Linked DNA regions of Macaca mulatta. The protein of the gene in region 1 purifies or fractionates together with the protein of each later gene. This does not show direct contact. Links are inferred from orthologs where the notes say so. Each region holds a gene or a part of one and is shown on either strand. Other genes may lie near its edges. The genes, in order: SNW1, BCAS2, SF3B1, TUBB, SNRPB2, CCNT1 and DDX23.

The links.
Region 2: the proteins of SNW1 (region 1) and BCAS2 purify together in Homo sapiens (co-immunoprecipitation; 3 studies listed by BioGRID and IntAct, with this or other methods). This does not show direct contact. The link is inferred for Macaca mulatta from reciprocal best matches to the Homo sapiens genes SNW1 and BCAS2.
Region 3: the proteins of SNW1 (region 1) and SF3B1 purify together in Homo sapiens (co-immunoprecipitation; 3 studies listed by BioGRID and IntAct, with this or other methods). This does not show direct contact. The link is inferred for Macaca mulatta from reciprocal best matches to the Homo sapiens genes SNW1 and SF3B1.
Region 4: the proteins of SNW1 (region 1) and TUBB purify together in Homo sapiens (affinity purification with mass spectrometry; 3 studies listed by BioGRID and IntAct, with this or other methods). This does not show direct contact. The link is inferred for Macaca mulatta from reciprocal best matches to the Homo sapiens genes SNW1 and TUBB.
Region 5: the proteins of SNW1 (region 1) and SNRPB2 purify together in Homo sapiens (affinity purification with mass spectrometry; 3 studies listed by BioGRID and IntAct, with this or other methods). This does not show direct contact. The link is inferred for Macaca mulatta from reciprocal best matches to the Homo sapiens genes SNW1 and SNRPB2.
Region 6: the proteins of SNW1 (region 1) and CCNT1 purify together in Homo sapiens (affinity purification with western blotting; 3 studies listed by BioGRID and IntAct, with this or other methods). This does not show direct contact. The link is inferred for Macaca mulatta from reciprocal best matches to the Homo sapiens genes SNW1 and CCNT1.
Region 7: the proteins of SNW1 (region 1) and DDX23 purify together in Homo sapiens (affinity purification with mass spectrometry; 3 studies listed by BioGRID and IntAct, with this or other methods). This does not show direct contact. The link is inferred for Macaca mulatta from reciprocal best matches to the Homo sapiens genes SNW1 and DDX23.

Annotation. Positions count from the first base shown.
Region 1 is NC_133412.1:150,979,795-150,983,734, reverse strand, and holds the start of SNW1 (SNW domain-containing protein 1), read left to right. Parts: upstream 1-1,140; 5' UTR 1,141-1,169; coding exon 1,170-1,183; intron 1,184-3,940. UniProt on the Homo sapiens protein: Involved in pre-mRNA splicing as component of the spliceosome. As a component of the minor spliceosome, involved in the splicing of U12-type introns in pre-mRNAs.
Region 2 is NC_133406.1:125,685,034-125,687,538, forward strand, and holds the end of BCAS2 (pre-mRNA-splicing factor SPF27), read left to right. Parts: intron 1-1,483; coding exon 1,484-1,610; 3' UTR 1,611-2,005; downstream 2,006-2,505. UniProt on the Homo sapiens protein: Required for pre-mRNA splicing as component of the activated spliceosome. Component of the PRP19-CDC5L complex that forms an integral part of the spliceosome and is required for activating pre-mRNA splicing.
Region 3 is NC_133417.1:102,334,263-102,337,762, forward strand, and holds part of SF3B1 (splicing factor 3B subunit 1), read right to left. Parts: intron 3,206-3,500; coding exon 3,085-3,205; intron 2,742-3,084; coding exon 2,610-2,741; intron 72-2,609; coding exon 1-71. UniProt on the Homo sapiens protein: Component of the 17S U2 SnRNP complex of the spliceosome, a large ribonucleoprotein complex that removes introns from transcribed pre-mRNAs.
Region 4 is NC_133409.1:152,322,544-152,326,695, reverse strand, and holds the start of TUBB (tubulin beta chain), read left to right. Parts: upstream 1-1,352; 5' UTR 1,353-1,426; coding exon 1,427-1,483; intron 1,484-2,525; exon of another isoform or gene 2,526-2,809; intron 2,810-3,452; coding exon 3,453-3,561; intron 3,562-3,830; coding exon 3,831-3,941; intron 3,942-4,152. UniProt on the Homo sapiens protein: Tubulin is the major constituent of microtubules, a cylinder consisting of laterally associated linear protofilaments composed of alpha- and beta-tubulin heterodimers.
Region 5 is NC_133415.1:67,266,391-67,270,669, reverse strand, and holds the start of SNRPB2 (U2 small nuclear ribonucleoprotein B''), read left to right. Parts: upstream 1-1,479; 5' UTR 1,480-1,576; exon of another isoform or gene 1,577-1,911; intron 1,912-3,188; 5' UTR 3,189-3,226; coding exon 3,227-3,290; intron 3,291-3,685; coding exon 3,686-3,858; intron 3,859-4,279. UniProt on the Homo sapiens protein: Involved in pre-mRNA splicing as component of the spliceosome. Associated with sn-RNP U2, where it contributes to the binding of stem loop IV of U2 snRNA.
Region 6 is NC_133416.1:55,880,503-55,884,699, reverse strand, and holds the start of CCNT1 (cyclin-T1), read left to right. Parts: upstream 1-1,397; 5' UTR 1,398-1,459; coding exon 1,460-1,620; exon of another isoform or gene 1,621-1,849; intron 1,850-4,197. UniProt on the Homo sapiens protein: Regulatory subunit of the cyclin-dependent kinase pair (CDK9/cyclin-T1) complex, also called positive transcription elongation factor B (P-TEFb), which facilitates the transition from abortive to productive elongation by phosphorylating the CTD (C-terminal domain) of the large subunit of RNA polymerase II (RNA Pol II).
Region 7 is NC_133416.1:55,994,109-55,997,608, reverse strand, and holds part of DDX23 (probable ATP-dependent RNA helicase DDX23), read left to right. Parts: intron 1-96; coding exon 97-240; intron 241-339; coding exon 340-565; intron 566-867; coding exon 868-1,013; intron 1,014-2,666; coding exon 2,667-2,844; intron 2,845-3,500. UniProt on the Homo sapiens protein: Involved in pre-mRNA splicing and its phosphorylated form (by SRPK2) is required for spliceosomal B complex formation.

The DNA.
Region 1 (3,940 bases):
GGAGTGCAGTGGCGTGATCTCGGCTCACTGCAACCTCCATCTCCCGATTCACACGATTCTCCTGCCTCAGCCTCCCGAGTAGCCGGGACTACAGGAGCACACCACCACACCCAGATAATTTTTGTATTTTTAGTAGAGACAGAGTTTCACCATGTTGCCCAGGCTAGTGTGGAACCCCTGAGCTCAGACAATCCGACCGCCCCGGCTTCCCAAAGTGCTAGGATTACAGGTGTGAGCTACCGCGCCCGGCCAAGAGTTGATCTCAAAACAGGGAGATTATCCAGGTAAGCCTGATCTAATCACACGAGCCCTTTAAAAGCAGAGCATTTTTCTCCAACGGTGGCAGAAGAGGAGACAGAAAGATGTGCTTCAGCTGGCCCGGGAGCAAGCAAACATCCATGTTGTGAACTACCAATAAATAGGGTTCATGTGGGAAGGAGTTGAGAGTGATCCCTAGGAGCTGAGGGTGGCCACCACTAGCAGCACACAACAAAACAGGGAAGTCGATCCCACAACCGCCAGGAACTGATTTCTGCAAACAAGAATGAGTTAGAAGATGGATTTTTCTCCAGAGCCTCCTATGAGATTTCAGCCTTGTCATACCCTGGGCAGGGAACCCAGACGCTCGGTAAATTACCAAGGATTACAAAATATCTCCCCAGGAGATTGTTTTGGGTGGTAGGAGGATACGGTTTAAAGAAAAGTTTTGAGTATGAATGTTTTCAGAGTCCAAGAACTCTCCATTAGCCAGTCTCACTATTACCTATCGTTTTAAACTCCCTATCACCCTTTCACTTACAGAGCTGTCCCGGGGAAGCTTTTGTATTTTGTACCCTTTCTGGGGGAATGGGGCTGAGTAAGGAACGTAATAAAGCGGCCTAAACAGCATCTCCCTCTATCTTTGATATTTTGCCTAGGGAACGCCCTATCATGTCGCATATAAGCGATCGAGTTATGTATTTGTTGCTAGCTGAAGAGATTATTCCTTGATAACCGCTTGGTCCGGTCAGAATAGAAACGAATGGTACTCCCGTTCAAAGAACTACAAATCCCAGAAGGCCTTTCGGCCAGAGCGCCTGCGCATCGCGCGCTCCTTCCTTTCCGCTCCTCATCATCTGGAAAGACCCGCCCCGCGGTGCTGTCGCTCGCGCTGGAAGAAGCGGAAGAAGATGGCGCTCACCAGGTGGGTTGTTGATTGGGGTCCTCGATACGGAAGGGTCTGGGAGTACCAATCTTTTTCATTTCTCTTCCCATACTCTTGGGGCGGTGACCTGACCCGGGGCACAGAATGACGTGGGCCAAAACTACGGCTACGTCCTCCCGCTGGCCGCCGCTACGACTAGGCCTAGTCGAAGCTGGGGTCTTTCCGCGGTTTCCCGGGTTTAGTTCACCCCTCACCGAGGCCGAAAGCCGCGGCGTGGCCTCAGACACTGAAGACTGCATTTTTCGCTTAAGCATCTTGCGGGGAGCGAATAACGCTCCCTCAGGTCCGCGGCTCGGGCGAACAAGAAGGGGTTGGGGACGGTAGTGGCTTATTTGGGCGGAGTGAAGCGCACGGGCTGCGACTGCGCGGCTTTCCGGCCGTTTGCCTGTGTCCCGAAACAAGGATTCCTGAAAAAAGGGACCCGGAGCTGAACAGAGATTTAAATGAGCCACACTAGTGGCAGCTGTCTGCTGATATGCGCCACTGCTCCGCACTTTAACTTTGGAGCTTAGAATTTCTTCCGTAGATAGAACCACCTCAGAGTTTTGCTGTTTTCGGTTACCTTAGTAACTGTCTGTAAAGTGCTCCTTGCCTTTAAGAAAAAGATGCTTTCCAGTGGGAGAGTCCGAGAAGTTACGCTACCCCTGCTAGTCCCCAACGTTGCTGCCCCACCTTAAGTGGGAAAACTTTACATGCGAACTGAACAGGAAAAGTCTAGTGTTCAGGAAGGTTGTAGAGAAAGTAGTCCTTTTAGGACATCAACTTGAGCCCTCTTAACACCCTTCATTCTCCTCACGCATGTTTTTTTGTTTTTTTCTGGCTGATGACAGTATGAATCCAAAAAATTACTTTGGGAATTACTGTTGGTGCTTTGCTCTGTCCTGGGGATTGTGTACACAGAAGAAAATCTGTCTTTGGCAACAGGGAAGATGGGGTACAAGGTATACAGACATAAAACAATCACAGAACACAAAATGCACATTTGTGTTATACTAACCTTAGTGCAAAAAGAATTAGATGGAATAAGTTGTGTGGGCTGGAGAGTTTTCTTTCCCCTCTCCTTTCTAAAAATTTTTTTGCCTTTTTTTTTAAAAAACTATTTTTTTGAGATGGAGTCTTGCTATGTTGGCCAGGTTGGTCTTTAACTCTTGGCCTCAAGCAGTCCTCCTGTTTCGGCCTCCAAAAGTGCCAGGCGTGAGCCACCATGCCCGGCATCTGAATTTTTTTTTAATAAAAAGCTAGAAATGGGGTGTCACTGCGTTGGCCAGGGTGGTCTTCAACTCCTGGCCTCCATCAGTCTTCTCACCTAGGCTTCCCAAACTGCTGGGATTGCAGGCATGAGCTACCATGCCCAGCCAAGAGTTTTTTCTTTAGTAAATGTTACAGGCAGCAAACATTTGAGTACCCTCCAGGTGTGAGACACTGTGTCATAGACTAGTAAAGTTATGAGGGGAGACTTCGTGGAAAAGGTGGAATTTGAAATGGACACACAGGAAAAATTTCTAGAAATGTGATGGGTATTTTTTTATTTTATTTTTTGATGCAGGGTCTCACTCTTGCCCAGGCTGGAGTGCAGTGACCCAATCACAGCCCACTGCATCTTCAACCTCCCAAGGCTCAGGTGATCCTCCTGCCTCAGAGTAGCTGGGACTATAGACGCTTGCCTTGATGCCCAGTTAATTTTTGGTTTTTTAGTAGAGGTGGGGTTTTGCCATGTTGCCCAGCCTGTTCTTGAACTGGGCTTAAGTGATCCACCCATCTCAGCCACCACATCGTGTGGCCTGTCATGGGTATTGTGTGCTTAAAATTGCAGTGGCAGAATGCAGTATTCAAATGACCAGTCTTGGGGACTCCAGAGCTTTCCATACCTACCATCTGGGGTTCCTCAGTATTCTTTGTAACATCCTTTAAACCAGTAAACGCATTTCCCTGAGTTCTGTGAGCTACCCTAGCAAATTAGTTGAACCTGAGGATGAGGTCATGGGAACCCTGGTTTGTAGTCAGTTGGCCGGTGACCTGGACCTACTATTGGCATCTGAAGTAAGGGCAGTCTTGAGGGACTGAGCCCTCGACCTGTGACATCTGACACTATCTCCAGGTAGATAACATCAAAAATGAATTGAATTAGAGGACACTTGACTGGTGTCCAGTAAACAATTGATAGCTTGCTTGATACGTGGGGAAAAACCATCATGTATCTGGTATCAGAAGTGTTGTGTGTTGTTGATTGTTGAGTGAAATAATAGGAGAAACTGAATTTGTTTTAATTTTATACTCTATCCACATGGAGCTTACATTCTACTGGGATAGAAAGACTATGAGTAAAATCATAATGCAATTTCAGGTAATACACGCTAGGAATAAAAGAGGGTTAGAGAGTGACTCAAAGTTTGGGGTGAAGTGGCTATTTTGGGTAAGATGGTCAGAAAACAGCTCTAGAGAGAGGTAACTGAGCAGAGACATGAGTGCTAAGATGCAAGCTGTTGAAAGATCTGGGGCTACTCTAGGCATACTGCCTATGGGATAGCCCTGCTCCTCAAGGAGCAGTCACAGAAGAAGACATCTGGAGAAGAGTTTTCTATAAAAGCATACGAAAATTTGTTCTGTGTTTTCGTTTTTGTTTTTTTGGTTATGTTTTGTTTTGTTTTGTTTTGTTTTGTTTTTTGAGGCAGAGTCTCACTCTCACCCAGGCTGGAGTGCAGTGGAGCAATCTCAGCTCACTGCAAACTCCACCTC
Region 2 (2,505 bases), on another chromosome or scaffold:
TGCTAAAGGATTCTGGTCTTAGAATACCCTGTTTTTAGTCTAGTATTTTTGGCCTTGAATAGAATTCTACCTTTATTCTCCTTTTAAATGGAAAAAAAAAATAGCCAGCTACAGTGGCACATGCCTGTAGTCCCAGCTACTGTGGAGGCTGAGGCAGGAGGATTGCTTAGCCTGGGAGGTTGAAGCTGCAGTGAGCCATAATCGCACCAATGCACTCCAGCCTGGGCAACAGAGTGAGACCTCGTCTTAAAAAAAAAAAGGAAAAAAATTAATTTTATAAAATATTGTAGGCAGGGAGATTTCATACTTTTCTTGATAATTTGTTTGTACCTCAGGTTTATACATTTTAAAAAATGTTCTTTTACATACACACGTATGCCTTTATACAGTATCTTGAATATTTGTGTCATTTCTCTCTTCTTTTTTGCTTTCCCATTCCCTTTGTCCCTTCATTACTCAAGTTATTCTCCTTGTTCTACCATCTCCATGTACGTGTTATCAGTCTCTTTGGTACCCTTTCATGTTTTTTCCTCAATTTAATAAACTGTTGCCTCTTTCCTTTTTGTTGATTAAATTAGATACTGTCTTCATCACTCTTTCCTATTTCTTCTGGTTTACAAGTTCTCTCATCTGTTTCTAATTTGCTTTTTTATTAGTTGAACTTTTGAGATAATTGTAGATTCACATGCAGTTGTAAGAAATAATACAGAGAGCCAGGTGTGGTGACTCACATTGTAATCCTAGTGCCTTGGTAGGCCAAGGTAGGAGGATTGCTTGAAGCCAGGAGTTCAAGATGAGCCTGGGCAACATAACAAGACCCTGTCTCTACAAAAAAAAATGTTTTTAAATGAACCCAGGCATGATGGCATGCACCTGTAGTCTTAGCTCCTCGGGAGGCTAAGGTGGAAGGATTGCTTGAGCTCAGGAGTTCCAGGCTGCAGTGAGCTGTGATCACACCACTGCATTCCAGCCTAGTCAACAGAGCAAGACCCTATCTCTGGGAAAAAAAAAAAAAAAAGAAAGAAAGAAAGAATACAGATTCCATGTACCCTTTACCTACTTTTCCACAATTGTGCCTTGATTTTTTTTTAATGGAGAGTTGAAAGTAAAGTTTAGGCTGGGTGCAGTGGCTCACCTGAGATCAGGAGTTTGAGACCAGCCTGGCCAACATGGTGAAAACCCCATCTCTGCTAAACATACAAAAACATGAGCCAGCCGTGGTGGCAGGTGCCTGTAATCCAGCTGCTTGGGAGGCTGAGGCGAGAGAATCGCTTGCACCCGGGAGCCAGAGGTTGCAGTGAGCCAAGGTTGTGCCATTGTATTCCCGTCTGGGCAACAAGAGCGAGACTCTGTCTCAAAAAAAAAAAAAAAAGTGAAAGTTAGTGTTATAGCTCTGAGTGAACATGTGTATACATTTAAAATAAAATCTTCTAAGAGAAATTTTACATTGAGTAATTTTTTTCCTTTTTCCCCCCCATTCTAGTTGGGTATCCCTGGTCAGTAAGAATTATGAGATTGAACGGACTATTGTTCAGCTAGAAAATGAAATCTATCAAATTAAGCAGCAACATGGAGAGGCAAACAAAGAAAACATCCGGCAAGACTTCTGAAAAGACAGTTTAGCAGGTAGAAGAAAAGGTGGGCTTTCACAAAAGGCATCTGAACTTTTAATGAACTGTGAAGGACGACAGCATCTTCGCAAAACCATTGATGTTTAAATGTTTAGAAATCATAGAATGTGTGGGCTGCTGTAGTAATTCTATTTGTATATCTCAACAGAATTAAAATGTCTAGCTTGGTGGTATTTTTGTAACCATAAAAGAAAACCTTTAGGCTTTCAAAGTCAGTTATGACTTTAGAATAATACTGTGTCATAGAATTAATTTTCAGCCATGCGGACCATAGTTTGTATCCAAGGATCCTTATTTAAAGCCTTCAACATGTACAGGAAGTTGGAAATTTTTGGTTTATGACTTTGTCTAATAAAGAGATAGTTCGAAACACATTCTTGATTACCAAACAAGACTTCAGAAATACAGTGACTATACAGAGTCATCATTATCACCATCATCATCATAGGTAACAGTTATATCAAGCTTAATATGTGCCGAACACTGTTCTGAACACCTTAGATCGGTGAACTAGATGTATAGGAATAAAAATTATTTGGTTCTCACAAAAACCTCAGGAGGCAGTTACTGTTTTTCTCATATGTGGACATGTAACAGACCCCAGTTAAATAACAAAACTTGCCAAGGTTTTATAGCTGAAAATGTCAGCTTTTTTATAGAAAATGTCAGTCAGGTTTTGAACCCAATAGTCCAGCTCCAGAGTTAATGTTCTTACTTCTCTACTTGTAAGGAATTAAAATGTATAAAAGATTCGTGCCCAATTCAGAAAAAATATTTGCAACATATCAAAAGGTAGTCTTGCTAGGTGTGGTGGCTCACGTCTATAATCCCAGTGCTTTGAGAGACTGAGGTAGGAGGATCACTTGTGTCCAGG
Region 3 (3,500 bases), on another chromosome or scaffold:
TGGTACAAACTCTGTTCTGCCTTTCTTGAACTTTGAGGTTGTTTAGAAGTGTAGCCAATACATCATGAGGGCTGAAAAAAAAAATGGGTCAACAAGCTGTTACATTATAAGTCAAAAATTTATGGAAGAAAAAATGCATAAAGATGAAAACTTTTAAATATTAATAATTACAGGGAACTCAGTAATTTTATAAAACGCAATACTTCCAAGTCACTGGCATTGTTTCTACATTAAAATTTCATATAAATTAAAAGGTCAGTTTTAAAAAGTTAACTCTGAGAAGATCAGAGGTCACAGCTGTACAAATTTTAAAAATTTTGGCCGGATGCAGTGGCTCACGCTTGCAATCCCAACACTCTGGGAGGCCGAGGCAGGCGGATCACGAGGTCAGGAGTTCGAGACCAACCTGGCCAACATAGTGAAACCCCGTCTCTACTAAAGACACAAAAATTAGCCGAGTGTGGTGGCACACACCTGTAGTCCCAGCTACTTGGGAGGCTGAGGTGGGAGAACCACTTGAACCTGGGAGGCAGAGGTTGCAGTGAGCTGAGACAATGCCATTGCACTCCAGCCTGCGTGACAGAGTGACACTCCTTCTCAAAAAAAAAAAAAAGTAAGTTAACTCAAATTAATTTTCATATGTAATTTTCAGTTTTTAAACTTTCTGAAATATAAAGAAATTTAACTAAATGTTTAAAGTGAGTAATTCTGAGTTGTCAAAATGGGCACTAGAACTAGGTAGGAGTGGTGAGGGGAATATCTGAATTGTGGTCTCCCATTATAAACCATATAAAATCTCTTTTCTTTCTTTTTTTTTTTTTGAGACGGAGTCTCGCTCTGTCGCCCAGGCTGGAGTGCAGTGGCACAATCTCGGCTCACTGCAAGCTCCGCCTCCCGGGTTCACGCCATTCTCCTGCCTCAGCCTCCCGAGTAGCTGGGACTACAGGCGCCCGCCCCTGCGCCCGGCTAATTTTTTCTATTTTTAGTAGAGACGGGGTTTCACCATGGTCTCGATCTCCTGACCTTGTGATCCGCCCACCTCGGCCTCCCAAAGTGCTGGGATTACAGGCGTGAGCCACCACGCCCGGCCATAAAATCTCTTTTCTTTTATCTTCCCTCCCACACAATTTGCTGCATCTATTTGCCTCTTCTTTGACATAAACTTAGAGGGACATTGGGGCTAAAAGCTTGCATGACAGCTATTCACTACAAATTTCTTGACTCCATCACCACTGAAATAAATATTATGCTACCAAAATAGGAGAGAAATTAGTGTGTGTTAGGGGAGGGGGTGTGGTCTGGTTAATTCTACCTAATTAATCAGACGTTCACATGTCATATTCCTTGAACACATTTTCTTAAGCCACATGGACATGTGGTGTCTCGTTTTCTTTTCTTTTTTTTTTTTTGAGACGGAGTCTCGCTCTGTAGCCCAGGCTGGAGTGCAGTGGCCGGATCTCAGCTCACTGCAAGCTCCGCCTCCCGGGTTCACGTCATTCTCCGGCCTCAGCCTCCCGAGTAGCTGGGACTACAGGCGCTGCCACCTTGCCCGGCTATTTTTTGTATTTCTTAGTAGAGACGGGGTTTCACCGTGTTAGCCAGGATGGTCTCGATCTCCTGACCTCGTGATCCGCCCATCTCGGCCTCCCAAAGTGCTGGGATTACAGGCTTGAGCCACCGCGCCCGGCCGTGTCTCGTTTTCTATAATGACTTTTTTCCTACTTTAGTTGTGATGGAATGGAAGCAAACAACCATAGATTATCTCACAAAGCAGCTATAATTCAGTTAAATCCGTGGAGTAATGTTAGAATAGCATTTTTGTTGTTTTTTTTTAGAGACAGGGTCTCGTACACTGGCACAATCACAGCTCACTGTAACCTTAAACTCCTGAGCTCAAACAATCCATAATACAACTTTTAAAACACATAAAGCATTAATATGAGACTTAAATGATGCTGTGAGACTAAAAATTTGCCTTAATAGTTTAAGCAATATCCTAAAAGACCAGTACACATTTTGTATTTTTCTGAAAATGGTACTGTTTCCCTCCCTGAAAACACCTAAAGTATAATTAAAGTAAATCTTAAACCCTTCCATCTATTTTAATTCAATTAAGAATTTAAGACTACAGGCTGGGTGTGGTGGCTCATGCCTGTAATCTCAGCACTTCTGGAGGCCAAGATAGGTGGCTCACTTGAGGTCAGGAGTTCGAGAACAGCCTGGCCCACATGGTGAAACCTCATCTGTACTAAAAAATACAAAAATTACCTGGGCGTGATGGCGCATGCCTATAGTCCCAGCTACTGGGGAGGGTGAGGCAGGAGAATCTCCTGAACCCGGGAGGTGGTGGTGGGTGCAGTGAGCTGAAATCAAATCACTGCATTCCAGCCTGGGTGACAGAGCAAGACTCCGTCTCAAAAAAAAAACAAACACACAAATTGAATTTAAGAATACATTCCAAAAATCAGAAGGTCAATGGTTAAATGAAGAGCTTTCTCAACTGCATTATTCAGACCATGCCTCAAAAGAGATTTCTACATGAAGTATTTTTCAACACCACAACGAATTTATTATAATTTTTTTTTTTAATGGAAGTAAGTGACACTCACCCAATGGCCTTTGCAATATAACCAAATGTGTTGACTGTGGCTCTACGAATAGCCTTTTTGTGGGCTTTTAAGAGCTCTAAAAGCTCAAAGCAAATCCTCATCCACTCTCTTGCAGACACATATTCAGCTCCCCTAATTTAAAAAATACACATATTATTTGTGACATTAGGAAAAGTTTTAAGGATAAATTTGCAAATTCAGTTCTAAAAACATGATTGTTAACTCATTTTAAGCATTAAATAAGAGTTATTCCTCTTCAGAAAGGCTGAAGAGTTAGTCTTACAGGTTTAGTCCTAAAATTACATGGCCACCCCATTACCATCCAAATTGAAATTTGACTGAAAATATTAATACTAGACAGCCTAATCATATACACTTATATTAGTGACATTAAGAAAATTTTGCTAATTGAATACAAAGTGGCCAAATTTGAAAATTGATACTGCTTATAAAAATGTGTGGGTAATCTGCTTACCTGTCAGCAATACGCCCAACAAGATCAATACAATTCTCTTGTACTTTTTCATGTCTGTTCTTTAAGATGGGGGTGAGTCTAGGCAGCAGATCTTTAATTGGTGGAGTCATCTTATGCATACCTATTTAATAGAAGTCAATAAACTATCAACATCTGAATTGCAACTTTTGTTCACTTTCCTTTTACTTAGCAACGTTATATATGACTATGCATAAATATAAACTTACAGCTGCCTATGGAAAGAGAAAGCCGCGGATTCTGACCAGACTCAGAATCGTTTTTAACTTTTATTAACAATTTTTGATTATGTATAGAAATGAAAGAAATCAGTGAAGTGATTTAAAGAATGATGGATACTCAATAACAAAAAAGTTTTGTTTGGTTCTGAAATGTATTTGTGCACTGACATTTAAATA
Region 4 (4,152 bases), on another chromosome or scaffold:
CCTGTCTGTACCAAAAATACAATATATATATATATATAGATAGATATAGATATATATATATAGATATATAGATCTGTGTGTAATCGAATGTGAATGAACAATGATGTTGACTTGATACTACATTTCTGAGTGGCCAGACTGCAACATCCTGGAGGACAGGGAACTAATTATTAATCATTTTGTAACCATAGTTCCTAATTTGGTGGATACATAGTAACTATCAAATAAGTGAATAAATCTCTGGGAAGAAGCTGGTGGACTCTGTCTTGAGCCCATCCAATTTTCCCCCATCAATTTCCCCTCTCTCCTTTTTCAATACTGGGTATCTTGCAGAGTTGCAATGGCGGCCACCTGGTCAGTGAAATAAGCGAATTGAAAAACCACTGACTTCATTAACATGTCTAAAAAGGTAGGCTGAAAAAACTGAAAATCTATCAGGCATCTCATTCCATAGTTCCCTGTTTGACAAGAAGATCAAGGTGTCTTCAAAGTCTGCCCTAAGGCCCAGATCTCCTACGTGGATGGAGACTTCTAGTTTCACAAATCCCCGATGTCGGTTTCTCTAAACTATTTTATTCTTTGAACATACTCTCCAGACAACATCTCTATCCTGAAAAGCCCTTGCTGCAATTTTGTTTCTCTTTCAAAACAATGACTCGAAAATTTCCAAGGAAATAGCAAGAGGGCGATTCCCTTCTTGAAGTATTTGAGAGAGCAGAAGCTTACTTAAGTTCATGACTTGGGTCACCAAAGGCCAGAGGTAGCAGAGCACGGTGCCACACTCCTCCCCATTTTTCGCTGAGCTAAGCAATTCTGTCTTCCCTAGAGGTACTGCAGCTGGGAGCTTTTAGGGCGTACCTCACCACCCAACTTCTGGAACCCCAGACTTCTCAATCCCTGCATCCCCGAGAACTGCTCACTTTTTGTACAAAAACCTCAGGCACAGAGGAAAGGAATCTTGCGCAAGGTCGTTTTTCATTTACAAAACAAAAACCCAACAAAAACCAAACCGGTACCCACCCATTCGTCACTTCATTTTGCACCGTGAACAACAATAGGGGACTACAACTCCCAAAGAGGACTGCGCTCGTCCACTGGCTCAGAGGCCAATGGACGCCTGGTACATGACCGGCATCGACTAATCAGGGCCAGGCTCGATGAGGCTTTGTCTCCCGACCGCGCGCGGGGCCGATTCTCCCGCCTCCCAGCCCCGGCGCACGCGCGCCCCGCCCAGCCTGCCTTCCCTCCGCGCCCTCCCCTCTCCTTTCTCCCTCTCAGAACCTTCCTGCCGCCGCGTTCGCACCTCGCTGCTCCAGCGTCTGGGGCGCGTTCCAACCTTCCAGCCTGCGACCTGCAGAGAAAAAAAATTACTTATTTTCTTGCCCCATACATACCTTGAGGCGAGCAAAAAAAATTAATTTTAACCATGAGGGAAATCGTGCACATCCAGGCCGGTCAGTGTGGCAACCAGATCGGTGCCAAGGTAAGAATTTTACACCTCTTTTATTTCTTTTTAGAAGGAAAAATCCAGGTAAGTTATGAAAAAATGGTTGTGGGGCATTTGCACTCTCCATTCTTAATCAAGCTTTGCCCCTCCCAAGTTTGTTACATTTATATATATAATAACTAGCATTTGCTTTTGGAAAACTGGGAATCATTTTTCTTGGCAGGCACATTTTGGAGAAACTAGTAAAAGGGCTCTTCGGGTTTCGGGGGCGGGAAGACCAAGGACATATGTTACTTAAAAGGGCTTCTAACGGTCCAAGAACCGGGCAGGGAGAGAGATGCGGAAACAGTCGGAGACAAAGCGGGGCGAGGTTTTGCCCATGTGCATCCCGCCCAGCCCCCCCTGCGGGGTTCTTAGGGCCAAACGGGAGCGGGAAGGGGTGAGGCTGTCGGGCGGCTGCAGAGAGCTCCAGTGCAAAGGTCGGGGGGCGATGCGCCAGGGTGGGCTGCGCTGGGCGCTACCATTCACAAAAGATCAGGGACCCCAGCGCGCCCGCGACCCCGGAGGGCCGGTCCTGTAGTTGTTCCGGGGTGGAAGGAGAATAAGAACGGGATTAATTTTTCTTGCTTTCATGGCACCTAAGCGAGACCTCTTTAGGGCGTGAACTGATATGTCGAGAAAATGGGGGTGTGTGGTTTTCTTTAACGAGTCCTTCAGGACTTAATGGGAGAGAAAGAATGCTTTAAATCAAGGGGGAGAAATCTAGCAAAGGAATAAAATTCCGAGGCCAAGGGTTTTTTTTTTTTTTTTTTTTGCGCGCGGTTACAGTGTAGCGGGGGAGGGGCGGGAGGAAGTGCGGGTGCTACGTTGTAGCAGAAGGGCGGGGCCCTGCGGGGCGGGGCCAGGGCGCCGCTGGCGCGCGGGGACAATGCGGCGTTGCCCGCCGGGAGGGGCGCGCTACCCTGGGCCCCGCCCCTCGCGCGGAATTCTTGCCCCTGGCCCCGCCCACGTGCGAAGTCCTTTGTCGGCGGCTCGACCTGCGCGTGCGCCGCAGTCACGTGGAGGGTGGGGGGTGGTCGACTGCGGCAGCAGCTCTTCTAGTGCCCCGAGCCTTTTGTGCGCCGCGCGGTGGGGCGGTGCCCAGCTCGGGGGAAGAACAGCGGCGCTTATCCAAGTATGGTCGACCTCCATCCGCCCACCGAGCACTTGGGACCCGCTGCACATAATCCCGAGCCGGGAAAGCTGTGGCTTTCCCGGGGGAGCGAGTGTCTAGGGGAAGGGTGTGGCAGGCACACGGGATGCCAGGCCCTAGAACAACGGCCTGAGCGCGTGTGGGATTAAAATGGGAGATGTGGGGCTGAGGCGGGCTAATTGGGATCGCTCCCGCTCAGGGGTTTGAGACCATCCTGGGCAACAAAGCGAGACCCCTCCCCCCGGCCACATCTCTTCAAAAAAAAAAAAAAAAAAATTAACTGGGTGTGGTGGCGCGCGTCTGTGGTCCCAGCTATTCGAGAGGCTGAGATGGGAGGATCGGTTGAGCCTGGGAGTTTCAGGCTGTAGTGATCCGTGATTGCACCACTGCACTGCAGGCTGGGCAACAGAGGAAGACCCTGTCTTAAAAATTAAAAGAAGCTGGGCGCGGTGGCTCACGCCTGTAATCCCAGCACTTTAGGAGGCCGAGGTGGGCGGATCAAGAGATCTAGACCATCCTGGTCAACATGGTGAAACCCGTCTCTACTAAAAATACAAAAAATTAGCTGGGCGTGGTGGCGCGCGCCTGTAGTCCCAGCTACTCCGGAGGCTGAGGCAGGAGAATCGCTTGAACCCGGGAAGCAGAGGTTGCAGTGAGCCGAGATAGCGCCATTGCACTCCAGCCTGGCGACAGAGCGAGACTCCGTCTCAAAAAAAAAAAAGAAAAAAGTTAAGAAAAAGATGAAATAAAATGGTAGTTGGGGACGTAGTTGACTGGGACTTGACTTGTGGTCTCGTTGCTCCTGCCCGGCAGTTCTGGGAGGTGATCAGTGATGAACATGGCATCGACCCCACCGGCACCTACCACGGGGACAGCGACCTGCAGCTGGACCGCATCTCCGTGTACTACAATGAAGCCACAGGTAAGGGCAAGAGCCCGGGCAGCTCAGGTTCCCCTTCCCTGTCTCCCACTTCTCTGGGGTCTCTTTCCATTCCTGGCACGCCTTATCCCCTTTCGGTGAATCTATCATTTTCTCCCTTTTGTGAACCACCGTCGGGGCCAAAGACGTCTGCTGCCACCTGGTGGCAGGACCTGGAACAAGTCTTGGGTCCCTGCTGTCTTCCATTCCCAGTGTATCTATAAACCTTTCCCTCTGCCAGATCTCACAGCTCTTAACTTTATTCTTTGTAGGTGGCAAATATGTTCCTCGTGCCATCCTGGTGGATCTAGAACCTGGGACCATGGACTCTGTTCGCTCAGGTCCTTTTGGCCAGATCTTTAGACCAGACAACTTTGTATTTGGTAAGTTATACAGATGATATTAGCAGATGATATACTATCGTGTTCAACTTATTTGGGTGCAAGGACACAGCAAAAGTTAGGAGATGATTGTTGTACTGGAGTGCTAAGAACTGTATTCTGAAATCTAATGGAGGGTAGAGGTAGGGTAGAGGTAGTGCCTGCTGTTGCTGGTACATTATGGGGCAGTGGGGGGAGAATACATCACAGTGAA
Region 5 (4,279 bases), on another chromosome or scaffold:
TTTATTTATTTATTTATTTCAGAGATGAGATCTCACTGTGTTGCCCAGGATGATTTCAAACTCCTGGCCTCAACCAGTCCTATCTCAGCCTCCGCAAATGCTGGGATTACAGGTGTGAGCTACTACACTCAGCCATTTCTTGTAGTATTAGATCTATATAATAAAAGGATGTTTTTCTGTGATCCCTTAACATTTTCTACACTCATCTGCATGTTCAAAGCATATTTGTTTACTGTTGCCTAGTTTTCCATGTCAGTCATTCATTTATCCAATACATATTAATTATCAGTCACTATTCTCATTACTAAGGGTACTTGAGTGAACAGAGCAGACAAAATCCCCACCCTTAAGAAGCTTATATTATTTTCAAGTTGTTGCAACTTTAGGTGTTTTTTAAAAAATAAAAATTCCCAGCTGATAAAACTAACTTATTTGACAGCTACCTGCCTCACCAATATAACCAAGTTATAGCCAGAACTCAGAAATAACATTTTTGAGCCTCACCAATATAACCAAGTTATAGCCAGAATTCAGAAATAACATTTTTGAGCATTTATTTTGTGTCTGGTAATGTGCCAACCACTTTACATTTATTTTAGCTCATTTAATGCCTACAACAACTAGAAGGAGATACTATTAGGATCCCTATTTTACAGACGAAAAGAGTGAAGATCAGAGAGATTAGTTAAGCAGAGGGTACAAGATTAGGTTCCACTTGACTCTTAACAACCATTTCATATTCCAGGTGATGCTTTACAGACATCTGATGAATGGATGAATGAATGAAAGCATGGGAATTTTTTTGGGAATTCCCATTCAGCTTGGCATAAATACTAACTCGTTAGACTACCCTAGAAAAATCTAGACTTTTTGTGGGAAGAAAAGAGTGGGAAGGGTGGTAGGGAATTATTTTTTCGAGTGAGTTGAGGCAGATGATCTTACAGATGATTGGGTTCTACTCAGCATGGTTGCCTTATCTGGTGAGAGATGAGAATTGGGCAGACACCAGTTCTGTTTGCCCTGGGCCCTCAAACTGGGTAGCCTCTGAGATTCAAGTTCATCAGCAGAGTGTTGGAGGACAGTTCCTGCAGAGCCCCAGGAATCAGAGGAGACTTGGAGGCCGGAGGAACCGGCTATCCTAAAGGTGATTTTAAACCGGGGCAGCCAGAGCCCAAAGAAGGGCGAAACCAGGACTAACTGCCCCGTAGCATGAGAGGCAGAGCCTGTAAAATTACATAGGATTTGTAAAGGTGGAAGGCACTCTTGCGCGGGGCAAAGCTTCGCAAGGTCGTGGTAAGGGAAATGATTCACTCTTCTTCCCTATTCCCTCGCAGCATTGTCCCCACAAACCCCGTCCCTTTCCCCATTTCCATTTCCGGACTCTTCTCCTGCCCGCAGGGCATACGCACGCGCAAAGAGATTACCTACGGGCCGCCAGAGACCAGGAAGCATCGATCTGCTCTGCGCTCGGCTTGTAGACTTGTGGGCGCTCGATTGAGGAGCGTGGCAACGTTACTTCCGGTGCCTGGCTCCGTTTCCTGCTTTTGGTTCTTACGGGAGACTGCGTAGGCCTTAGGTGGGTTCGTGCACCTTTTACCTCGCTGTTTCGGTTTTCCTGGCTCCTCGGCCCTTCTCTCCCCTGTTGCAGCTGGGAGCGGACGAAGCGCGAAGCTGGGGTGGGGACGCGTTTGGCCCGGATTTGGATCTCGGAGTACCCGAGTAGGCTGGGGGCGAGGAAGAGATGGGAGACTGACTCAGGGGCCGGGCATCGCGTGGCAGCTCCCTCGGACTTCGTTAGGGGGCCTCGGGCGAAGGTGCTTGTGTCTGGAGAGGCGGGAGGCTTGCGCTTACGAAGTAAAGGATAATGTCCGTCTGCTTGTGCGAGGCGCTGACAGTTCACTGCGCTTTCAGGTGTCTTCCAGCGGTTTCCTTTTGGTAGTGGCGGGTAATTCAGGGTGCCCCTGTAACAGTCCAGCCCACGATCAAACCTCGCATGAAACCCCGCAAGAGCCTCCCCTTTGTCCCCCTACCTTCAGTTTGACCTCTGCCTCAGTCACTTCCCTTTCGTCGTCTCCTTTGTGACCCTTGCCGCTTCTCCAGATTTCGATTTAGGGGGTCCCAAGGCTTGGAGAAGCGTTATGTTTTACCTGTTACCTGCACAAGTGCAGCCCCTGCTTGTAGGCTCTTCCCTTGTCAATCATCCAATGCTATTCACGTACAGTGGATGCTCCGTAAATATTTGTGAGATAAAGAAATATGTGGGGCACACAAGGAAATCAAGCAGCTTCACAGTTTGCAAGTAAAAACCACGTTAAAAAAATGCAATAGTGTGGTGGACGAGGAAGAGAAGTGTAGAGGAGAAAGCAAGGGCTGAATTTCCAGGCTTGATGCTTATTAGCTGTGTGACCTTAGGCACGTTCCTTAACTGGTAATAGCTGTTAATAATAGCTACTTTAAGTGCTTACCGTTGATGCAAAACTGTGCTAGAACTCATTTAGTCTTCTGAGTTCGGTTGGGTAGGTTCTGTTACCATTCTCATTTTACTGATGAGGACCTGACAGATTAAGGAACTTCCCTCAGGCAAACAGCTAATAAGAAGCATAAATAGGATTTGAATTCACATATGGTTGGTACTAGAATCTGAGTTTAACGGTCATGCCACACTGTTGTCATTGAGCTCCCTTCTTTCAAGTCGGTTAGAGGTAACCTTGGAGTCCAGACAGCTTGGTGATACTGTATACAAATTAAGTAATAGGTATGGAAGGACTTTGTAAGTGCACCCAAGAAGTAGTTGGCAAACTCCATTAATGTCTAACCTTATGATTTTCACTGGATGTACATTTGCTACTTGGTCATTTTTCTTCAAATCTACATTTTAAATTATTGAGGAGGTGGAAAGAAAATATCACTTGTCATAAGTGAAAAGTAAGTGTGAAAATAAATGTGTTGAATTAAATGATGTTACTAAAATCTGGCTAGGTATTGGTGCTCCAAGTTTTGAGCATGAGAAACTCTTCTCCTTTTGTATGAAAAGGAGGGCTAGTAGGTGCTGGAGGTACACTAAAGGCTTCAGCCAAACTGACATCATCTAACAATTGGGATTGAAAGAGAAGTGAAAGGTTAATAATTCGTGTGTTGTGTCCTTATGCCACAGTCCAGTATAATTTACTCCTTCCTTTTTATAACAGATTTTTTACTGTCTCCTTCTGAAGAATTTAACACAAACATGGATATCAGACCAAATCATACAATTTATATCAACAATATGAATGACAAAATTAAAAAGGAAGGTAAGTGCTTTTAAAAATACTTGTTCACTACTAAAATGTGTTTATTTACTACTGTCTTAAAAATTGTATTGCCTCAAAACCTCTTACCTCGTCGTCTTAGTGCCTGAAATAATGGTTTATTCCATTACCTATAGGGATTTGAAGACTTTTAAAAAACAAAAATAGGTAGGAATTGACAGTGTGTACAGTCTGTTTCTACTCATAGATATAATGGTTTCATCTGACTTATAAAATTACATATAGCCAATGGGAATAGTATATGTTTTTATAAACATTAAATATATATAACTATAAATAAGTGAATGGTGGGGAGGCAACTCAATGCAGTATCATTTTATGAAGACTTTTGTCATTATCTTATTACCAATGACTTGTTTCTTTTCTAATTTGGACAGAATTGAAGAGATCCCTGTATGCCCTGTTTTCTCAATTCGGTCATGTGGTGGACATTGTGGCTTTAAAGACCATGAAGATGAGGGGGCAGGCCTTTGTCATATTTAAGGAACTGGGCTCATCCACGAATGCTTTGAGACAGTTACAAGGATTTCCATTTTATGGTAAACCAATGGTAAGCCAATTCTATTATTTCACTTTAATCAAGAAATTAATGATATTGATGGTACAGTAGATTTGTAAATATGCTTGAAACTGTGGCTGTTGCTTTCTGCTTTTAATTACGTGTGTTTGGGTTTATGTGTTTTTATAGAAAAACAATAGCAGTAGAGTTTAATTTATGACGGTTAAGATGGCTGAAAACAAAATACATTGAGATGTAGAATATTTAAAAAAATAATGGCAGTCTAGGCAATAGTCTTATCTCAAAAAGTTAGAAATTAATAATAACCTGGAAGACTTGAAAAGAAACCTGTTTGTAAACTTGTAAAACATTACAAAAGTCAGAAGCTAAAGGGGAAATTCAGTCTGAAGTTTTAGAAAATGCTATAGTGAAATACTATATGTCAGAAGCTACACAGTCTAGATGAAACAGT
Region 6 (4,197 bases), on another chromosome or scaffold:
TCACTGCAACCTTCGCCTCCCGGGTTCAAATCATTCTCCTGCCTCAGCCTCCCGAGTAGCTGGGATTACAGGCGTGCGCCACCACACTTGGCTAATTTTTGTATTTTCAGTAGAGACGAGGTTTCACCATGTTGGCCAGGCTGGTCTCCAACTCCGGACTTCAGGTGATCCGCCCGCCTTGGCCTCCCAAACTGCTGGGATTACAGGCGTGAGCCACCGCGCCGGCAAAGGAGCTGGGAAATATCTTGACAGAGGGCAGGAATTTGCTAATCTCTGCAAGTGAGGGGTAGTGGTGGAGGCTGTTCACACTCAAGGGGCAGTATTAGTTCACCCATTAGCAAACGTACTTAAAAATTACCTCTTGAGAGTTCCGCTGAATAAATGAAACAGTATATTTAAGTCAGTATTGTGCATGGGACATGTAAGCTCTTAATGTTATTAATTTCATTTTATTCCTTTAAGTTGGATCACTGCGGCGAAACGTGAGAATGTTTTCATGAGTTTGGCTACACATTAAAGCGACCTCTCCAAATGGGTTGTCGTATTTTACATTGCTACCAACAACGTAACAGCCTTCTAGTTGCTTTATGTTCCCATATACGAAAGAGCCCCACCATTTGATTCTGTTTTTCAGTTTCTGACAGCCTCACCTACTTTCTCTTTCAAGTTCATCTGCCCCATTTTTATTTTATTTATTTTTTAGACGGAGTCTCTCGCTTTGTCACCCAGGCTGGAGGCTGGGGTGCAGTGGCGCGATCTCGGCTCACTGCGACCTCCGTCTCCCGGGTTCAAGCGATTCTCCTGCCTCAGCTTCCCGAGTAGCTGGGACTACAGGCGCACGCCACCACGCCCGGCTAATTTTGTATTTTTAGTAGAGACCGGGGTTTCGCCATATTGACCAGGCTGGTCTCGAACTCCTGACCTCGTGATCCGCCTGCTTCGGGCTCCCAAAGTGCTGAGATTACCGACGTGAACCACCGCGCGCGGTCCATCTGCCCCATTTTATATCACCACTGCAGTCACAAACTAAGTTCTCCTAAGAACCACCAAGCGGCGCGTGGGCGGGCGCCTCATACCACTACAATTGCGACCTCACAACCTAACCCCGGGCGCCAACGCTCAATCCGGTTCTCGCGGGAAGATTCATGGTTTTTAAGCGAGAACTTCTAAGCCCACGCCACCTCCCAAGGGTCACGTGACGCGCCTGCGTCCTCGCCTCAAGGTTTTTTTCTCGTCGCATATTGGCTGTTAACTCGGCTACGGGGTGTCGCGAGGTGCATTCCGGAAGTAGGTCCTTTGACTTTTGCTTTCTTTACGGAAGAGAGTCACAACCCGGCGGTCGACGCTTAGCGGAAGTTCGTCAAGTCGCAGTTGCCCCCGCACAGCGGATGTGGGTCGCCTCTTAGGTGACGCTGGGAAGTGTTTGCAGCCTCCGCCGCTGCCTTCTGGTTGAAGCATTATGGAGGGAGACAGGAAGAACAACAACAAACGGTGGTATTTCACTCGAGAACAGCTGGAAAATAGCCCATCCCGTCGATTTGGTGTGGACCCAGATAAAGAACTTTCTTATCGCCAGCAGGCGGCCAATCTGCTCCAGGACATGGGGCAGCGTCTTAACGTGTATCCTTGCGGCCTAGGCCTTCGGCCTTTGAGTTGGTCCCGCCATGCTCTGGCGTCTAGGTCTCAGGCTCTGGTGGGGGACGAAAGTGGGGAAGAAGGTGGGCAGAAGCTGGATGTCTAGTTGGGAGAGCCCACGATGGGGCGGGCTGAAACTCAGTTCGCGCTAGGGAAGCGAGGCGGAGTTGATTTCCCGCTCGCTCACCCGTGCCACCAACCTTGCTGGGCATTCGTATCCTTCCCGGCTTCGTGTTTTAACCAGCCCTTCCAACTCTCTCTTCGTTGTGTTCTGATCGGCTCTGGTGACGTTAAGTTTCTCATTTTCCGCTGTGCCCTAGGGGTTTGGGTCTGGCAGAGGTTTCTCTGTTGAGGGCTGCTTCCGAAACCTAGTGTGTAAATTTCGAGAAATTCAGTACCTGAAAGTCTTATAAAGGGTGGTCTAGAATTAATGCCTCAGCCTTGGTCCAAAATCCATTCCTCATCTGCTAGCTGTTTAAGTGACCTGTCAAATTCTTGGTCGTCTTGTCTATAAAATGGGATGATACCTCTTGTGTTTGATTCTGTGTCCATCACAATGCTTTGCATTAAGATGCTCAATTAGTAGCTGCTGTTTTATAGAATTTCAGAGGAAAGATGTTAGTTTACGTTTGTAGGGGTTACCCACGAATCTAATGTTTTAAATCGTTTACAAAATACTGGGTCCTTAAGTTACTTAGAGTGGTGGTGTGTATTTCATTTTCTTTCTATTTCAAAAATGAGGTAACGGCCGGGTGCGGTGGCTCACACCTGTAATCTCTGCACTTCTGGGAGGCCGAGGCGGGTGGATCACCTGAGGTCAGGAGTTCGAGACCAGCCTGGCCAACATAATTAAACCCCTGTCTACTAAAAATACAAAAAATTACCCCGGCTTAGTGGCGGGCAGCTGTAATCCCAGCTAGTCAGGAGGCTGAGGCAGGAGAATCGCTTGAACCCGGGAGGTGGAGGTTGCAGTGAGCCGAGATCGCGCCACTACACTCCAGCTTGGGCAACAATAGTGAAACTCCGTCTCAGAAAAAAAAATTTTAAAAAAAATGAGGTATCCTCTCCCACATATTTTTGTTTGTCAGGAAATACACTTATTTTGTGGTGGAGAAAACTTGTATAGTTTTAAAGTTCTTTCCACTCTGTGTGTGAAAATTTTCTTGGGTGCAGCTTCTATTTAAATGTGTGGCTGACAGTAATGTTTGTATCTTAAGGGTGTGTGCATCTCAAAATGGGTGTCTTTTTTATCGCCAGTTTGTTTCCTGCTGATGTCCAGATGTGTTTCCTAAGCATCCTATCAGTACGGAGTAAATCTTTTTGTTCGAAATTCTATTTCAGTGTATCCTTAAAACGCTTTCCTTTTTGTATGTGTGTTGTCATTAAGGTTGTCAGCCAGGCGCGGTGGATCGCACCTGTAATACCAGCACTTTGGGAGGCCCAGGCGGGTCGATCACTTGAGGCCAGGAGTTCAAGACCAGCCTGGCCAAAATGGTGAAACCCCGTCCCTACTAAAAATACAAAAATTAGCCATGTTTGGTGGCGAGTGCCTATAATCTCAGCTACTGGGGAAGCTAAGGCAGGAGAATCGCTCGAATTTGGGAGGCAGAGGTTTCAGTGAGCCAAGATGGTACCAGTGCACTCCAGCCTGGGCGACAGAGCGAGACTCTGCCCCCTCAAAAAAAGGCTGTTGTAATTTGGGACTGCATCATCTCTCTACCCCATATTGTCTGCTGAAGTTTTTAGAAGTAAGGCATTTACAAGTTTTTTGTTCCTCTTCAGTTAATGAATTATCAGATCATTTCAGATGTTTCCTGTCCCGTGGATCACCACATGAGAAGGCTTGGTTGCCAGAGAGAAGTGGAACTGAAAATAATTTAGGCCGGGTGTGGTGGCTCATGCCTGTAATCCCAGCACTTTGGGAGACTGAGGCGGGTGGATCACTTGAGGTCAGGAGTTCGACACCAGCCTGGCCAACAAGGTGAAACCCCATCTCTACTAAAAATACAAAAATTAGCCAGGCGTGGTGGCCCAGCCGGTAGTCCCAGCTACTTGGGAGGCTGAGGCAGGAGAATTGCTTGATCCCAGGAGGTGAAGGTTTCAGCGAGCTGAGGTTGTGCCACTGCACTCAGCCTGGGTGACAGAACGAGACTCTGTCTGAAAAAAAAAAAAAGAAAGTAATTTAGTTGATGGAGTTTAGCAGGTGAGAGAGGTAGTGGAGACATACCTATGGGCCAGATCAGGGTGGGCGCTGTAAATCATATTAGATTATAGATATCTGCCACCATGCCTGGCTAATTTTTGTGTTTTTAGTCAAGGAGGGGTTTCGCCATGTTGCCCAAACTGGTCTCAAACTCCTGACCTCAGGTGATCCACCTGCCTCTGCCTCTACCCAAAGTCCTGGGATTACAGGTGTGAACCACCGTGCCCAGCCAGGCCTTATAAATTGGTTTTTTTTTTTTTTTTGGAGATGGAGTTTTGTTCTTGTTGCCCAGGCTGGAGTGCAATGGCGTGATCTTGGCTCTCCGCAACCTCCGCCTCCCATTTCAAGCGATTCTCCTG
Region 7 (3,500 bases), on another chromosome or scaffold:
CTGTCCAGGAGGAACTGTTTCATATTAGTAGTCTGCCCTTCCCTCCTACTGCCATAACAGCTGCTTCTTTTTTCTTTTCCTCTGTCTCAATCCCAGGTATAAAGAACGGCACCAGGTGCAGTTGTTAGGGCGAGGCTTCATTGCAGGCATTGACCTCAAGCAGCAGAAACGAGAGCAGTCACGTTTCTATGGAGACCTAATGGAGAAAAGGCGAACCCTGGAAGAAAAGGAGCAGGAGGAGTGAGTGATCAAGGCTAGGGTGGCTGGACAGAGCCCAGAGACTCTACAGAAAGGAGTTGGAGGGCACTGATTCTACTTACTCCTCACATCCTGCTCCAGGGCAAGACTCCGTAAACTTCGTAAGAAGGAAGCCAAGCAGCGCTGGGATGATCGTCATTGGTCTCAGAAAAAGTTAGATGAGATGACGGACAGGGACTGGCGGATCTTCCGTGAGGACTACAGCATCACCACCAAAGGTGGCAAGATCCCCAATCCCATCCGATCCTGGAAAGACTCTTCTCTGCCCCCACACATCTTGGAAGTCATTGATAAGTGTGGCTATAAGGTAAGGAGGGGTAGATTGGCCCAAAAGATCTGAAATGTTCCTGCACTAGTTTGGGAATAGAGAACTTTGTTCCTTGACTATTTGGAGCCATCCCTGCTATTGGGTACCAATGTGACCTTTTCTGTCACTTTCTGGTAGAAGCGTCAGCTTTTAGTGATTATGTTTCTTCTTGGGGTCCCCATTTCTGTGCACTGTACTTGGCATCCTTCCATTGCACTAGCAGATATGCTTACTACTATCAGTGGTAGCCCAGGTTGTATAATTCTGCCTGTACCTATTACTCTTTCTCGGGGTCACTGCAGGAACCAACACCTATCCAGCGTCAGGCAATTCCCATTGGGCTACAGAATCGTGACATCATTGGTGTGGCTGAGACTGGCAGCGGCAAGACAGCAGCCTTCCTCATCCCACTGCTGGTCTGGATCACCACACTTCCCAAAATTGACAGGTGGGGTCAGCTGGCACCAGCTGGAGTGGGTTTGTCTGGGTAGGAAAGGTGAAAGTGGCAAAAGAATGTGTGTTTTTTGTTTCACGTCTATAATCGGAAGCTTGCTTCTTTATTCTTGGTTCGATATTAGGGAATAATTGGATCATGATATCAAAGAATTATATGTTGCTGGCAAAGACCTGGAGAACTTTGCTATCCTGGAGTCTCTGATTTTTATTTTTTTATTTTATTATATTTATTTTTTTGAGACAGAGTCTCACTCTGTCACCCAGGCTGGAGTGCAGTGGCACGATCTCGGCTCACTGCAACTTCTGCCTCCCAGGTTCAGGTGATTTTCCTGCCTCATCCTCCTGAGTAGCTGGGAATTACAGGCATGTGCCACCACACCCAGCTAACTTTTGTTTTTTTGTTTTGTTTTGTTTTTTTGAGATGGAGTTTTGCTCTTGTTGCCCAGGCTGGAGTGCAGTGGCGCAGTCTCGGCTCACTGCAACCTCCTCCTCCCAGGTTCAAGTGATTCTCCTCCCTCAGCCTCCTGAGTAGCTGGAATTATAGGCACCCGTCACCACGCCCGGCTAATTTTTTTGTATTTTTAGTAGAGACGGGGTCTACATGTTGTTCAGGCTGGTCTCTTAACTCCTGACCTCAGGTGATCCGCCTGCCTCAGCCTCCCAAAGTGTTGGGATTACGGGCATGAGCCACTGCGCCCGTCCTTAATTTTTGTATTTTTAGTAGAGATGAGGTTTCACCATGTTGGCCAGGTTGGTCTCAAACTCCTGATTTCAAGTGATCTGCCTGCCTTGGCCTCCCAAAGTGCTGGGATTACAGGCGTGAACCACTGCACCTGGCCGAATCTCTGATTTTTATTTATTTATTTATTTATTATTTATTTATTTTTGTTTTTTTGAGATGGAGTCACGCTTTGTTGACCAGGCTGGAGTGCAGTGGTGTGATCTTGGCTTACTGCAACCGTTGCCTCCCAGGCGCAGATCCTCCCACCTCAGCCTCCCAAGTAGCTGGGATTACAGGTGTGTTCCAACATGCCCAGCTAATTTTTGTATTTTTTGTAGAAACAGAGTTTTACCATGTTGCCTAGGCTGGTCTCAAACTCCTGGGCTCAAGTGATTCACCCACCTCAGCCTCCCAAAGTGCTGGGATTATAGGCTTGTACCATTTTGCCTGGCCTCTGGACTTACTTTTTTTTTTTTTTTTTTTTTTTTTTTTTTGAGACAGAGTGTCTCTGTCAGGCTGGAGTACAGTGGCACGATCTCAGCTCACTGCAACCTCCATCTCCTGGGTTCAAGCAATTCTCCTGCCTCAGCCTCCCGAGTAGCTGGTATTACAGGCGCCGGCCACCACCCCTGGCTAATTTTTGTATTTTTATTAGAGGCAGAGTTTCACCATGTTGGCCAGGGTGGTCTCAAACTCCTGACCTCAGGTGATCCGCCTGCCTCAGCCTCCCACAGTTCTGGGATTACAGGTGTGAGCCATAGCGCCCAGCCCTGGCCTCTGATTTTTGAGTGAGATCATTTCATTCTTTTCTCATCATCCTCCCCATTCCCATCGCTTCCCCTAAGAGTGACTTTGTCTTGCTCTGGCTTGTGGTTGGATAAGAACCAAAGCTCACGAAGCTGTGGGATGCCCCATTTACCACAGAATCGAAGAGTCAGACCAAGGCCCTTATGCCATCATCCTGGCTCCCACCCGTGAGTTGGCTCAACAGATTGAGGAAGAGACCATCAAGTTTGGGAAGCCGCTAGGTATCCGCACTGTGGCTGTCATTGGTGGCATCTCCAGAGAAGACCAAGGCTTCAGGCTGCGCATGGGTTGTGAGGTTTGTTTTTCTATCTAGCAGCCAGCCTGCTGTCTGGGAAGGCTATCTTGGGGCTTTGTTTCTAGTTTCTGGAATAGATGTGCAGTAGAATGAAGAAAGGAGCTGGTTTATATGTATGTGCTATTTATTGAGAACTTATGCACCAAAGTTTATATTACAAATAGTATATATCATATATATTAGCTCATTAATTCTCACAATAATGTGTGAGAGTAGGTAGTGATATTTCCTTGTTATAGATCAGGCTGAGGTTCAGGTTAATAACTGCCTGAAGTCACAAACAGCTGGCAATGGGCAGAGCTGAGATTCTTATCCATAGCCTGTGCTTTTAGTTACTCTTTACTCTGCCAGACCAAATCTTTGACTTTGTGCATTGCGTTCATCTCAGGAAAGTGGAGGAGAGCTTTTTATGAGAAATCTGCTGTAGAAATTTAGAGTTTTTACTTTTTTTTTTTTTTAATTTAGTCTTTATACAACCCCCTTCATGGTATCCCTTAGTCTCTCCCATCTAAGAAAGTTGCTTCTTCAGGATCTGAAATGATTTGCCAAAAAAAAAAAAAGTTTCTACTGATTTTGCCTCCTCTGTCTAATCCCTGCATCTTACTCAGAGACCTCATTCGTTCCTGAGAAAATCCAGGCAACAAGTGATTTCATGC